Linked DNA regions of Lytechinus pictus. The protein of the gene in region 1 purifies or fractionates together with the protein of each later gene. This does not show direct contact. Links are inferred from orthologs where the notes say so. Each region holds a gene or a part of one and is shown on either strand. Other genes may lie near its edges.

Region 1 (8,006 bases):
TACTTCATTTAATGAAAAAAAAGGTGAATGTGTGAGATCATGGACTATCTATCTCATTTACATATAATATGCATTGTACATGCAGTTAACACATTTTATGAATTTAACAAAAAAATTACAATGTCATAACTTTTTTTATTCAACATTGGATTACTATGAAATTTTCAGTATTATGCTTGTTTGATTTTTATTGGTTTTACCATTCAAATCAACTTGCTCACTGAGAATGAATTGGCCTTTAAATGTCTTTTCACATTATTACCTTTCTATTGACTTTGATGCAGTGTTATGTGGGTATTCATACTTGGTTGAAGAGGAAAGGGTAAGGGGTGTTGTATATTTATCAAAATATTCAATAAACAAAACAAAACAATGATATACCTGCAGCTCTTCATTATCTAGTAGCTCTCTACTCCTCCTTTGCAAAAAAACGGCTCTAAATAAGATCAACCAATAGAAAAACATACATGTACATGAATTATTCAATTTTTACTTCACGCAGTCTACATCCGCAGGCTACAACTATTACCAGATCTTAAATACATATACTGCATTTAACTTAAAACCAAGTATAACTCTCACTTCACAACTGGATTGTAATTGCAATTGCACTAATATTTTCTTCCTTTTTTTTTTATTTGCTGAATTCAAGTCTCAACTGAAGATCTACTTGTTCCCCTCTCACACATGATCTAATAATATAATGTTCAAGAGAGTTTCTATATTTTCATATCTGTTATTTGTTAGCTTGAAGTTGATCTCTCAGTCAGTTCTCCAGTTATTGGAGAACAAAATGTTTCAATGTATATAATGACCACTGTGACCTTTGACCTCATGACCCCCAAATAACATCTCTCCTTACATGGGCTAAGCAGAAGATCACTCTTTTATCAAAATAAAAACAGGGCAAATAAACAGAGTGATGACCCCCAAAACATAAATTGCCTCACAAACCATCTATGGTTGGTGGCGGCATAAAGAGAGGAAAAGAGAACACCGCACAATAAAGAAATGATAATAAACATTGGTGGTGTGTACTTTTCACAAATTATGTGCATTCTTGATGCTTTTTACCTGCATTCACAAAAAAATATCTTACCTGGATTCCTCTCTTAATTTTTGAAGCAGTACATCATCTTCACCTGGTAACTATATCAAATAAAACAACATGAATTCACAATCAAAGTACACAGAGCACCCCAAAACAATCAGCTTAGAACTATTATTGTACAGTACTAGTTCCAATCTTACTTTAATAAAGAGAAAATACAATAGAAGTTGCAAAGTCTACAATCATGGAATTAAAGTAGACTAATTGAGACATCAATCAGATGCAGAAACAAGGCAAAAGCGATTTTGTGTCTCGCGCCTTATGAAAATAACCAGAAATATCGTGATTTGCGAGGGCACGCAACAGAATTGTATCGAAACTTCATTGTGAAATGACTGGGAGAGAATAACTCTTGTCCTAAGAGCCTTGTACGTAAACTTAATGTTGACCTGAAAATGACCTTTGACCTTACCATGTGATCTCCGACTGCAGCATAACATGCAGGTCGCCTAAGTACATCTTCCATCCAAGTTTGGTTGAAAAGTGATTTACGGTTGCGGAGTTAGGTGTCATAAGAGTCTTGCATGTAAACTTTAAAGTTGACCTGAAAATGACCTTTGACCTAACCATGTGATCTCCGACTGCAGCATAACATGCAGGTCCCCAAAGTCCATCTACCATCCAAGTTTGGTTGAAAAGCGACTTACGGTTGCAGAGTTAGGTGTCATAAGAGAGTCTTGCATGTAAACTTTAACATTGACCTGAAAATTACCTTTGACCTAACCATGTGACCTTTGACTGCAGCATAACATGCAGGTCCCCCAAGTCCATCTACCATCCAAGTTTGGTTGACAAGTGACCTATGGTTGCGGAGTTAGGTGTCATAAGAGAGTCTTGCATGTAAACTTTAACGTTGACCTGAAAATGACCTTTGACCTTACTATGTGACCTCTGACTGCAGCATCACATGCAGGTCCCCCAAGTCCATCTACTATCCAAGTTTGGTTGAAAAGTGACTTACGGTTGCGGAGTTAGGTGTCATAAGAGAGTCTTGCTTGTAATAATAATAATAATAATAATAGCGGTATATTTACCCAGGGTAGCTGCTTCAGTTCCGAAAACTGTTCTCCCAGCGGGCCCTGCTATTATTACCCCGGCTTTAGCTGGGCTGCCTAGGCGCTCAAGCATTCAAGGAATTAATCCTGCCGGGTACCCATTTACCTCACCTGGGTCGAGTGCAGCACAATGTGGATAAGTTTCTTGCCGAAGGAAATTACGCTATGGCTGGGATTCGAACCCACGACCCTCTGTTTCAAAGTCCGAAGACTAATCCACTGGGCCACAACGCTCCACATGTAAACTCCACATGTAAACCACATGTAAACTCCACATGTAAACTTGTAAACTTTAACGTGACCTGAAAATGACCTTTGACCTTACCATGTGACCTTACACGCTTCACATGTAAACTTCACATGTAAACTTCACATGTAAACTTCACATGTGGAGTCTTGCATGTAAACTTTAACGTTGACCTGAAAATGACCTTTGATCTTACCATGTGACCTCCGACTGCAGCATAACATGCAGGTCCCCCAAGTCCATCTACCATCCAAGTTTGGTTGAAAAGCGACTTACGGTTGTGGAGTTTTGTGTCATTAGGTTTGTGACGGACGGATGACGGACGACATTTGGATCCCTTAGTCTCGCCTTCACCTCTGGTGGGCGAGATAATAAAGAAATGATAGCAAGTTAAACAAAAACTTTAACATTTATGTAACAGACCATCAGACTAACAGGAAAGGGGATTCCTAGGTCTCTGCCAAACTTTGTTTAGGCAAGGCAAAAATCTTAAACTTGACACATACAAATTGTATAGCTTAATTCTGTTTTTTGAAGCTGCAATATGAATCACATTATAGAGTATCAAAGATGTCACAAAGGCCAAGATAAAGGAATATAAATCAGGAACACCCTCTGATATAACAGTGCAACTTTCGAAATGAACAAAAAGGATTTTGATTAATACAGTGATTTTTAACAAGACTTGAAATAAAAACTGTTGACCTGAATCCACCATCTAATCTTGGCCCTACTGACAAAAAAAATTCTCTGAATAATTACTTACTTTGAAATAAAATCTGGGAATGGCACTGAGAGTCTTGTCTTGCTTTTTATCTGGACCTTTCATTTCAGTGTAAAGTTTTGTGAACATCTCCATTTCTTCTGCCTTTTTGTCTCCTTCTGTTTTACCTGAACATATTCAAAGAAAGAGTGAAACTAGCACATTAATGATGTGGAGCTCATCCAGCATCTCGCAAAGAAATTTAACACAATTTTTAATTTCAGCCAAGTTGACACTGTAGAGAATTATATTGGTGACATAAATTGAGGAAACAGAATTGAAATTGATGAAGAAATTACAAAAAAGAAGCAATTTTTCTAATTTATGAAGAAAAAAATTCGTATAAATAAGCATAAATAATTTTCTAGTCAAAATTTCTAAATTCTGTGTAGAACCTTGGTGAACCTCATGTAGCTCACTGATGGAACAAAAAAAAATTTAAATAAAATGTCAACAAATAAATAAGAAGCAGACATTTGTGATTATGAATAAATTTTGCAAAAATTAGCGTAAGTAATTTTCTGGTCGAAATTTCAAAATACTGTGTACAAGTTTGGTGAACCTCATGCAGCTCTACCAGATGGAAGAAAAAAAATCAAATCAGTCAACAAATAAAAGAGGCATTTTCTAGGATTTATGAATAAATTTTGCATAACTTAACATAAATAACTTTCTACTCAAAATTCTGTGTAGAAGTTTGGTGAACCTATGAAGCTCTACCAGACGGAAGAAGAAAAAAATTGGCAAATAAAGAAGAAGTATTTTATGTGAATTTGGAAAAATACGCATAAATCGATTTTGCAATTTTAGCATAAAATTTTTTCTCTTCAAAATTCTGTGTAGAAGTTTAGTGAAACTCATGAAGCTCTACCAGAAGGAAGCATAAAAATTAAAATCGGAAAACAAATAAAGAAGCATTTTTTGTGAATTTTGAAAAATGTGCATAAATTAGCATATTTAATGAGTTTCAAAATTCTTTGTAAAAGTTTTGAATCCCCAACCTAGTGCTATAAAAAAAAGCAAACAGAATTGAAATCGGACTTGAAATGACCAAGAAGAAGCATTTTGAAATTGTGGACAGACGACGGACGCCACGCCACAAGCTCATCTGGCCCTTCGGCGCTTTGGGCCGGATTACTGACAATAAAACTTTTTGGAAAACACTAAAAGTAATTACACATAAAACAAAACAATAGAAAATTATACGTGCCTTGAACGAAGCCAGCAGTGCGAGCTACCATTCATTTGTCAACAAACATTCGACCAAAGTCTATAGTGGACAATTTGCCGACTTCACGTAATGCTTTGCATCGATTTACGTGTAAAATAATTTTAGTGCCTAGTCTTTCCTTTGTAGTGTCTTTGTTATGAATATGAATTGAGCACCCTCTTTAGAGGTAAAATTCGGGAAATGCGAGTTAACTCCTCAGTTCATCAACGAGAAGAGAAATCAGCGCTTAAATGTAGTATTTTAGGATTAGCAAAAATTTGATTCATATCATTCGGTAAGTTTCGTAGAATATTGTTATTCTTGTAAAAATCTAAGTGCAAGTGTTGCATGCGCCATGTCTACAATTTTCCTGTGCACAGCGGCATGTAATGCACCCGTGGGTGGGTGCATATATAGGCTCCACTACACTTCACTACCGCTACACCTACCTGAACCATCGGCGATAAATACTCGCTCTAAAACACCAGTGACAGCCTGTGTCACTTTTTGATAAAAAAGGCGGTTACACTTCGTAATTCCGAAACATGTAAATTGCCTATTACCTCGATTTTCTTTAATCCGAAAACGTTAATCTGAACATTTGTGGCGTTATTCCGAAGGTTCGTAATTCTGAAGGTTCGTCAGTCGAAAACGAAATAAGGTTCGTTATTTAATACGAAGGTTCGTTAGTCCGAAGACGAAATAAGGTTTGTTATCCTGAAGGTTTGTTAGTCCAAAACAAAATAAGGTTCCTTATTCAGAAGGTTTGATAATCCGAAAACGAAATAAGATTTGTTGTTCCGAAGGTTCGTTAATCAAAAAAATGAAATAATCGGTGGTGAAGTTAGGAAGACCGGAAGGGTAAGCATGGTGGAGGGGGGGGGGGGAGAGAAACTCCATTGCTGTTCAATTGTAATGAGGATGGGGAGGCAAAAAGAAGGGCGGCGGAGCAAAGTAGAGTAAAGTAGAGCAAAGCCTTTTTAAAGTGATTTCTGATTATGGTAAGATATATAGTTAGGCTTTATTTTTCGCGAGAGTGTAACGAGCGGTTTGGACAAAATTTCAAAACTGATGTTGTATAACTCGTTTTTTGGTCAATTAACTGTTAAAAGGGCATCCTTGGGAGTTGTTTCGAGCATGAATCACAAGCTAAAACTTTTGGACATTTCAACAAGAAATGAAGATAACACATTCTGAGCATTTTTTTGCAATAATTAAAAAGATGTGCATCTAACTGAAGAAAAACAATCGAATTCCACATGTTCAGGGGGGAATGAAACTTTGTTTCCCATGACAATGAGGAGAAAATTAGGATATTTCATATAATAAAATACAAAAGAAATAGTGAGTGGGTGATGTCATCATTTGCATACTGACCAGGATGTGCATATGTTCTGTTTTGTGAAATTTAACGAAACTTTAAAATGTCATAACTTTCTTATTTTACATCCAATTTTGATGAAATTTTCAGTGTTCTGCTTGTTTGAATTTTCTTTTTCTATTCAAATCATCTTTCTGTTGGGTTGGACTTGTCCTTTAACAAGTATTGGAAACAAAATGATACTCCCTGAATTGGCCCCCTAAACAAGTACAGCGATATTTTTATTGTTACGTCGGTCGTCGGCTTTACCTTTACCCACATCATTGGGTTTAGTACAGCCCGGCCCACCTCCCACATCTCGCGCAAATCGTACTCTAAACACGTAGTGTTGACTCTTGGGGCAAAAAGTACATCCTTTATAAAACATTTCAGTCTTAATTTTTTACACCCTCGCAAATTTTACCCTAAACACGTAGCTTTTCTAGCGAAAATAGATACCCTTTTTTCATTATTTTAGTGTTTTTGACACCCTTATTACATTACTTACGTAACATGCCCCATCTTGAAAAAGACATCCTTTTTACGTGTTTTTTTTGTTATCCACTCGTCAATGTAAGTGCCCCCCCCCCCCCCGGGCAATCACCGCAACACACATCGAAGTACAGGCCCGGGTACAGGCGCTATCACTCACAAAAAAAAAACCCTGAAATACAAATTACGTCATTAAAATTGATTTTTCTGCACCATATTTCCAAAGCACGCGACAGATTTGTTCACATTCAGGAAGCGGGGTCCCCGAAAATGCAATAAAAATGAAGAAATCTGTGATTTTTTCAGAGTTTGCAAACTTTACTTTCTCGCTAATTTATGATTGTATCTTCAAATTACCAATAAAAAACCAAATCAGAATTTTTTTCTTTATTGCAGTTCATTGGCGACATCGGACTTTGCAATTGTTTTAGGAAGGTGCAAGAGATCCGAGAGCACATGAGAGCAAATCGCTCGCCAATTTTGTGTATTTTTTTAGCTTTTCAGCAGCCATAATAATAGTAAATATGAATAAAATTGATGCGGCAATCAAAAAGGGAAGCGGGCGAGAAACATCACTTTTTGATATTTTTTTAGCCAATTTTTGAAAATAGTAAATAGTAAAAAATTTCATGCGGCAGCCAAAATAGATGCGCGCGAGGACGATCAACTACTTTCTTTTTTTACTTGGCTTTAGCGCCATCAACAACCTTCCTTAGTTTTATTTCCGTCGAAGAGACATGCGAAGCAACTTTCCAGGCCAAGCCCGAGGTAAGTGATTTTGCTCTTTTTTTATATGCTTTTTACATAAAAAAATATTTGTAAAATTGAAATTGGAACGCTTTTCACCAGAAAAAGCCCTGGTGAGTTGCGGAATGAGTTTTCGGCTAAGTAACATTATTTGTGGTATGAAGCGATTCTTAACCGACAACTCTAAAATCCGTAGCGTAAACACGTACGTGGTGTGAGGTTAGTATGGGGATTCGTTAGTATAGCATACTAGCCTCGCAATACGTGTGAGTGGGCTAGCGCTTTCTCGACGGCGAAGGCTCACCAGAGGTAATACTAGGGTGTCTGAAGCCACACTGAAAAGTGTCAACATAAAACAGGCTGATTTAGGGGGGAAAATGGCACATTTTTTCGGGAAGTTCAGGCTGCTAGAAAAATGTGATCTGAATTGATTAACTTGTGTTTGACATGTATGGAAAGAGAAAATTCAGGGGCTTCTTTTGACAGTAAGGACAAGTTTATATGATCATTTTGAATAAGGATTTAGGGTCATTCCATGCCAATTCACCCAATGAATGTGCAATTTTGCACCCGACCCTCTCGGAATTCGTTGTAAATTGGTACACATAAAATTCACCATGGCCCACGCACAAAACAAAAAAAATTAGTCCAATTGGTCCGTCGGTTCTCGCGCTACGGCCCGCCCTTTTCTCCTTGTTTTGACAAAAATGGGCGTGACCCTCAACTTTCAATGGCCACTGCGTCGTAACGTGTTGACCAATTTTCATGAAACAGGTACCATTTATTAGGAAATTCAGAGAGGAATCTAAAACATGCATCAAATAATGTATTGGAGCAATGTATAAGGTCGTGACCTTTGACCTTTACTTTGACCTTGAGTTTGACCCCCGGACAAATAATTTTTAAACTTGATTTTCATGTATGTTAATTATTAGTATGATATTGACAAAATATGTTAAAATCAATGATGATATTTTATTTCTTCACCTTTTAAAACTCTTCCAAAGATACCATGAAATTT
Region 2 (7,768 bases), on another chromosome or scaffold:
GCTTCATGAGGATAAATATTTTCCATATTTGTTTAGATGGGAAATATTCACCCTGACTTTTAAAAATGGCAGAATAAAAACAAAACGCAATGGTGAAGGTCTGAGAAAATCCATCAAAGATATTAAAAAGGTATTAGAAGATTATTTTCTTTTCAAAAGCAGCAGAAAACATCAAGAGTAAATAATGGTGAAGGTTTAAAGAAAATGTTTACCTGTAGCGGCTAAGAAAGCAGGAATGCTTGTAAGTAAGAACCAGAGGACCGACTGCTTAAGGTCCTCTCCGAGGGACATGGTAATAATGAAGATTAACAGGGGCGGATCCAGCTTTCGCCAGTGGGGGGGGGGGGGCGGAAAAAAATATTCACTCATATTTTCCCCGATCGGCCACGCTCAAAGTTGATTTGTTTGTTTCTTTGAAGGGGGTAGCCCTGCACTGAAACAAACGGTATCAAAATTAGGCTGGGCCGGAATTATAGCCTTCCAATTTATGTCAGTTTCTTTGAGAGACAAATCCTTCGGAACTTAATGATCAACCGTGGCCAGTTTTGGTTGTTTAAGCAAATTTCATAAATTATTAAATTGAACTTTAATGCATGAGTGAGCACAAATTGCACTTTTTGGGGGCAGCCTTTCAACTTTATCATGTGGATCTCAGCAATGTGTTAATGGGAGTCGGGGGAATATAGGGGGTGAAGTAGGTTGATTGAATAAGGGTCAACGTTACAGAAAATTTAGCCTCCCCTCCCTCTCTCCCGCCCTCCCCTCCTGTTGAGAGACTGATTGCTATTGTCATGTACGCGTGAAGTCCAGAGCAGAATGTTGATTTAATCATGTTAATGATGAATTCTGAATTGAGGCATCAACTTTTTCCTATCAATCGATCATTTAATCAACAATTTATCATGAATCAACTCATTCAATGTGATCAATCAAACATTCATTTTTTTCAATATTTTTTTTTCATAAATCATCATAATCAGTCAATTTTGGTAACCATTCAATAAAAAGAGAAAAAAAACTGACCATCAGCCACCGGTCACTTGGCAGTTAAGTTCTGAATCGGGCTACAATCCAGGAAGTGAGAGAGAAATAGAGAGGTGGAGAGGGAGAGAGAGAAGAGAGAGAGAGGGGGGGGGAGAAGAAACCGGGGAAATGGATCGAGGTGGAGGGGAGTACATAATCAATTTAACATAACACCCCTAGCTTTGCAAGTTCCGAAGGACTAAGCTCTCAAAATAATTGTAAGGCAGCCAATTCCCGCCCAGCCTATATAGCCAAGCTTATAGTCTCTCAGGAGCTAGGAGAGAAGGGGGGGGGGGGTTAGAGATGGAGGGAGGGGTTGCTAAATGTTCTGTTGACCTTTATCCCATCAACGTACTTCACCTACTTAAGTTCTATCTTACCCCCTATTCTCCTGACTCTCATGGACACATTGCTGAGATCCACATGATAAAGTCAAATGCTGCACTAAAATTGCAATTCATGATCACTCATTCATTAAATTTCAATGTGATAACAAACTGATCACAATTGATCATTAATTCATCATAAAACCCTCAAACCCTCAAAAGTTCCCCCCTCCCCCCCCAAAAAAAAAACGGAAAGAAATTGGAAGGCTAATTCCGGCACAGAATTTTCTTACCCTTTATTTCAGTGGGCAGTGCTCGCTCAAGCATGAGTAGTTTTCCAACTTTTGGTGTCATTTGAAAGTTGACTTTATTGGCTTTCCATATGAGTCTTTCCCCCAAAAGTGATATATTTTTTATTTGGCAGCCATTTCAAAAGTGGCGGGCGTGCCCCTCGATCGGCCCCCTGGATCCGTCTATGGATTAATGCCTTACCAAACTTTGGCAAGAGCTCACCAATTGGGAATCGAACCCGGGTCATCGGAATCCGAAACCCGCCCCGCTCTACCGACTGAAGGGAAAAGCAAGGAAGGGAAAGAAAGAAATAAATAAATAAAGAAAGAAAGAAAGACATACAGACAGACAGACTGACAGAAAGAAAGAAAGAAAAAATGAAGGGAAAGGGAGGAATGGAAGAAGATGGAAGGAAGAAGGAATAAGGACGAAAGAAAAATGAGAGAAAGTTAGAAAGAAAAAGGAAAAGAAAAAAGCAAAGGAGAAAAGGAAAGAGAGAGAGAGTAAAAAAAGAATGTATTCAAACTTTATACCGAAAAAACTAAAAATACCGAAAAAAATATAAAACGAATGTATTCATCACTTTATACCGAAAAAAATATAATTGAGTATAAGGGAAATGCACAAAATTTTAAGTTCGCTCGCCATGTTCCCGCCCCGCCTACTGATATCTCCTGGCTACGCCAATGCCATAAATAATGTCTCAAAAGGCTATTATATTTTACTTTTCATGATAGGAACGAAAAAGCTAGAGGACAATTAATACAATTTTCCCTGAAATTTCCAAATATGTGGGATAGCCCATTAAAGGAAGGGGGAGGAGTCCGGGAGGAGTACACAAAAGGCAATTTTTGTTCTTGGCAGGCGAGTGTCGAATTTTTGACAGTTGAGGTCAAAGACCGTCTTTTTTAATTACTCCTGGGGATCAGATCACTGGCAAATCAGACACCCCCCCCCCAAAAAAAAAAAAAAAACAGCCCAGATATTATCAGTTCGAGAAGCCCTTTTCACTGTTATACCTGTAAATGCTTTCACAATTATTTATATAAAAAAATCATCAAATGATTCTCGGAAACACTCATCCCACCGGGGTTTAAATAAAAGCAAAAACTGAAAGGAAACAAATCATCGGGCGTACACGGGGCGTACACTCTGCCCCAATCGGCCCAGTGACCACTGACCATTATAGCCTGTCCTATTTTAGCGTACTTTGCTAATGACGGAAAAAATGGGGAATTCAAATCGCGATTTGAAGTTGTCCTGTCCCGGTCCTGTCATTCAAGGAGAAAACCTCACATGATAATTTTATGATAATTACTGGGTTTTTTTTTTCAACAAAAGCGAGACGATGGAACCCATCCTTGCTGTAATAAAAGCGGGAATAAAAAATGATGTTGTTGTACGTAGATATGAAGTTAATTGTTGATAACATAAAAAAAAAAAAAAGTTAATTGTTGATGATGATACCGATTAAAGATTTAGAAAGTTATCAGAATTTATTTTTTTTATGTGACGTCATAATGCGAGTTATATAGCTTATCGTGAATGAAAAAAAAACAAAGAAAAAATCAATGAAATTTCATTTTCCAATGCAATAATCATTTGATGTATAAGTTATCGCCTTTTCATTCCGGTTACAAAAGCGCAATACACTTAAATGATTTTATTGAACCTGTATGTCAACAGGCAAATCATTTGCCTGTAATAATATGTCTGTAAAGCGCTTAGAGACGTCGTTCCGATGTATTAAGCGCTATATAAATGCGGAATATTATTATTATTATTATTTGCATCTGCTCCTGAATGACAAAAAATATATTATAGTCATCATGAACCATTCAAAATTGAATTAATGCATTTTAGATTGCATTACACTTAGGGCAGCTGCTCGTACATGACGTCAAATAAAAAATTTCAAATTTTATTAAATTTCTTAATCTATATGATTTTTCTCAAGGCTTCTTTACCAAATTTTATCCGGGTAGTTTTACAACAAACTTTTCGTCAGGGTGTAGGCCCTACTTCCCTTTAAGTGAGGGTCTTATTTTGGTTAGAGTCAATAGTCATTCCTAAGAATTATTCTTAACCTGATGGTCTATTCAAGATTCACAGACATGCAGTAGCAAATTACATCACAAAAGTATATTTATATAGCGGCTATAATTACAACCTTATTTTTGGGTCATCCGTTTGTAAACATGAATTAATTACTGACCGTACAACGTTTTACACATTATTGTGAATTGAATTGTATTGTATTGAACTGTATGAGGCGGGGGGGGGGGGGTCTTTTTTTATTTGGCAACCAGTCAAATGGACTACAGTATTTTCGCCATAGAGAGTCATAGTTTTTCCCCCCTGAATCCCCTTTGTAGACACCATACTTAGCCTTGCCGACTACTATCTCTGCAAGATAACTTCAATTATTTTTTTGGCTCTTACATTCATTTGGACTTGTACTCGATTTGGAACAATTTACCCTACCAAAGTGCCATCATGTCTGCTGACGAAGACACAGAATTAAGAGACCTCATTGCTCAAACATTGGAGAATAATGGGGTCCTTGGGAAGATTCGGGTAAGTTTCGTTTGCCTGGCCTGTGCCACTCCCTGTGAGCTGTGCCTGTGGCGGTACGTACTGGTACTCGTCTCGCGCTCGGCCTCGGGCCATGCCACTGCAGGGCCGGGCCGAGCGAGCCAGGGTCAGGGAAGTCGGCTGCGGCGCGGCATGCAGGGCCCGCGAAGCTTCACCTTCGCTACCCGTGACGTTCGTGTACCGTGGCGTAGGCTCCTCGCTCCTCGCTCTGATACTCTCTCTAGTCTTGAGGACGCAATGATGATGACTTTTAAAATAATGAAATATACTTCTTTTTGACTTTCGTTTTGACACTCTTCCCTTAGTCGCAGAAGTGAGAAGAGAAGGGCCAAAACAAAGATCATAAGATGGATTTCCCTCGGAAATCCATCTTTTGAAACAAAAATAACTTGAATTTTATGAATTTCATTGATTTTTACACCTTCCTACGCCTAATGCGTAGGAAGGTTTTAAAAATTATAATATAAAAATGTGAAAAAATTAAGGTTTCTTACCTAACTGATACCGAGTAGACCCCTCGATCCACATGTAAACAACGCAAACTTCAATAGCGTCGACCCTTGAACCGCTTACGTATGACGTACTTCCGGCTAGCGATGCCGTTCTGATGAATAATTTATAGAAAAAAATATTACTTCGCAAATGTTAAAATTTATCACGTAATTATAAATAATTAGTATAAAAATACTAATAGGCCCTAATTATTTATAGGCCTAATCACGTATGACGTAATAAATTTTAGTATTTGTGAAATAATAATTTTTATCTAAAAATTATTCATCTTTTAGAGCTTTGATATCTGTTTTTTCCTGGTTGTTTTTTGTTTTGTTTTGAAAGAAATAGACCACTCTTTTCCTTTTCTTTTGGCTTCAACTAATACTTTTGTGCCTTTCAAGTCTATCTATCATGTCCATGGGGAGATTGGTAAATTTGGATTGTTAAGTTCTTTTCCACAAAATCTTGCTAATTTTCTTGTTTTGTTTCATAATAGTATGGAAGTTGTGTAAAAAATTGTGTACATTTATGTGCAGTGATTTCACTCTAGAATCTGAATTTATTTATTTTTCTTAAAAAAAGATAGCTCAAACAGGGCCTTTGTAATACAATGTATGTACAGTATACAAATCTAAGAAATGCATTGAAAACCGATAGAATATATTAAAGCTTTATTTTTATCGTTCTTGATATTTGTAATAAATTGCATACAATGCTACGTACACATACACTCAGCTGCTCATCCCTCCTAAAATAATTGTAATCAAATGTCCATTGTCTCTAACATCAAAAGCTACATATTATACATGTATAACAAATTGTTGAAACAAAAGAATACATAAGGAATCGGTGAAACAATCAAATACATCAGAAAATAGCACACTTGTATTTTCATTTGGTCATACAAAGTACAAAAGGAATGATAATTTTCATATGTAAAAAAAGACCTCCGTACATACATTTATGTATACAATACTAAAGTTGAAAAAGAGCTTGTAATTTAAATCAGAAAATTTCTTTACAAAAACAATATTTTAAACAAATTCATTTAGGAAATTATCTACATGATGCTGTTTTGATGCCAACTAAATTATATAAATTATCTATCATTCATGATCACCTTCATTTGGCAAAAAAAGAGGCGAGTATTTGTGATTTTGCGTAATTTGCATAATTAATTAGAATTAAAGGAGAATGAAACTCTTGAAGCAAGTTAGCTTTTGTGAAAGCAGAAAAATCAAAGAATAAGATCAACAAAAGCTTGAGTAAAATAGGACTAGCAATAGAAGAGTTATGAGCATTTGAATGTCGAGATCACTAATGCTATGGAGATCCTCCGATTGGCAATGCGACCAAGATCTACGATGTCACAGATGAACAACTCTCCCCTTTTGGACACTGAAAATATACCCCAAAACATCTCTTTTTGCTCATTCTTATCATATGACAAACGATTCATCAATTATATAATGTTGTGAAACCTCTGTACTTTTCCTCTCATAAAGAGAACACCTCACTTTGTGATAGACTCTATAAAAGTGAGAATATAAGTGAAATAAGTACTAAAGTAATGAGGGAGTTGTACGTGTGTGACATCACAGATCTTGGTCGCATTGCCAATGGGAGGATCTACATGGCATTAGTGATCTCAATATTCAAATGCTCATAACTTTCTTATTATTCATTCAATCTTCCTCAAACTTTCAACAATATGTTTCTTTGATTTTTCTCTTTGATATGGATTCAGCTGGTTTCAAGGGTTTCATTCCTTTAATTAGAATAAATTATTTTACACATATTAAGAAGAAAAATTACAAAGTGAAATGATTACACATCAGTTGAGCTTTCTTTCACCTTTCCATTGATACCTAAATTACTTCAAAGGGCTAAAAAACAAAGCAGTTAGAGCCTGTTGAAGACTTGGGTTCAAAATGTTCACAAAATGGTCACAAAAATCGGTTCTGTATTACATTGACTTTACATTAAGACAATGACCACAAATTTGGATGAATATGCGCGACTCAAACTGGAATAACTTTATAAGTTCTTGATGAAAATTAGAGTTCTTGGTATTATATGAAAGATCTTTTCAAGAGCTTTCAAATGTTACCAAATTTATTGATATTTGATGATTTTCATTTTTTTGTCACATACCTACTCAATTCATGACTATATAGAATGGGATCTTTCGCATCGAAATTGGATATAAAATAAGAAAGGTATGACATTTCGTTTATTTTTCAAAAAACAGTTTTAATTCTATTCACAACTCAGTGACATCACATGCAAATGAGAGAGTCGAGAAGTCCATCATTCACTATTTTTTTAATTGTTTGAATCATACAATATTGAATTTTTTACCAATTTGACTTTAACTTAAGGACCAACTTCAAGGAGAATGAAACCCTTGAAACCAGCTGAATCCATATCAAAGAGAAAAATCAAAGAAACATATTGTTGAAAGTTTGAGGAAGATTGAACGAATAATAAGAAAGTTATGAGCATTTGAATATTGAGATCACTAATGCCATGTAGATCCTCCCATTGGCAATGCGACCAAGATCTGTGATGTCACACACGTACAACTCCCTCATTGCTTTAGTACTTATTTCACTTATATTCTCACTTTTATAGAATCTATCACAAGGTGAGGTGTTCTCTTTATGAGAGGACAAGTACAGAGGTTTCACAACATTATATTATTGATGAATCGTTTGTCATATGATTAGAATGAGCAAAAAGAGATGTTTTGGGGTATATTTTCAGTGTCCACAAGGGGAGAGTTGTTCATCTCTGATATCATAGATCTTGGTTGCATTGCCAATGGGAGGATCTCCACAGCATTAATGATCTCGACATTCAAATGCTCATAACTCTTCTATTGCTAGTCCTATTTTACTCAAACTTTTGTTGATCTTGTTCTTTGATTTTTCTGCTTTCACAAAAGCTAACTTGCTCCAAGAGTTTCATTCTCCTTTAACTGAACCATAAAATGTTATACAAGTGATAATACACCATGTTCAGGAAGGAATAAACAT

The links.
Region 2: the proteins of serine/threonine-protein phosphatase 2A regulatory subunit B'' subunit gamma-like (region 1) and centrosomal protein 43-like purify together in Homo sapiens (affinity purification with mass spectrometry; 3 studies listed by BioGRID and IntAct, counting the BioPlex papers as one, with this or other methods). This does not show direct contact. The link is inferred for Lytechinus pictus from reciprocal best matches to the Homo sapiens genes PPP2R3C and CEP43.

What each region holds. Positions count from the first base shown.
Region 1 is NC_087251.1:8,499,247-8,507,252, reverse strand, and holds the start of serine/threonine-protein phosphatase 2A regulatory subunit B'' subunit gamma-like, read right to left. Parts: upstream 3,334-8,006; 5' UTR 3,273-3,333; coding exon 3,180-3,272; intron 1,150-3,179; coding exon 1,100-1,149; intron 437-1,099; coding exon 382-436; intron 1-381. UniProt on the Homo sapiens protein: May regulate MCM3AP phosphorylation through phosphatase recruitment. May act as a negative regulator of ABCB1 expression and function through the dephosphorylation of ABCB1 by TFPI2/PPP2R3C complex.
Region 2 is NC_087254.1:18,223,213-18,230,980, forward strand, and holds the start of centrosomal protein 43-like, read left to right. Parts: upstream 1-4,033; 5' UTR 4,034-4,136; coding exon 4,137-4,217; intron 4,218-7,768. UniProt on the Homo sapiens protein: Required for anchoring microtubules to the centrosomes. Required for ciliation.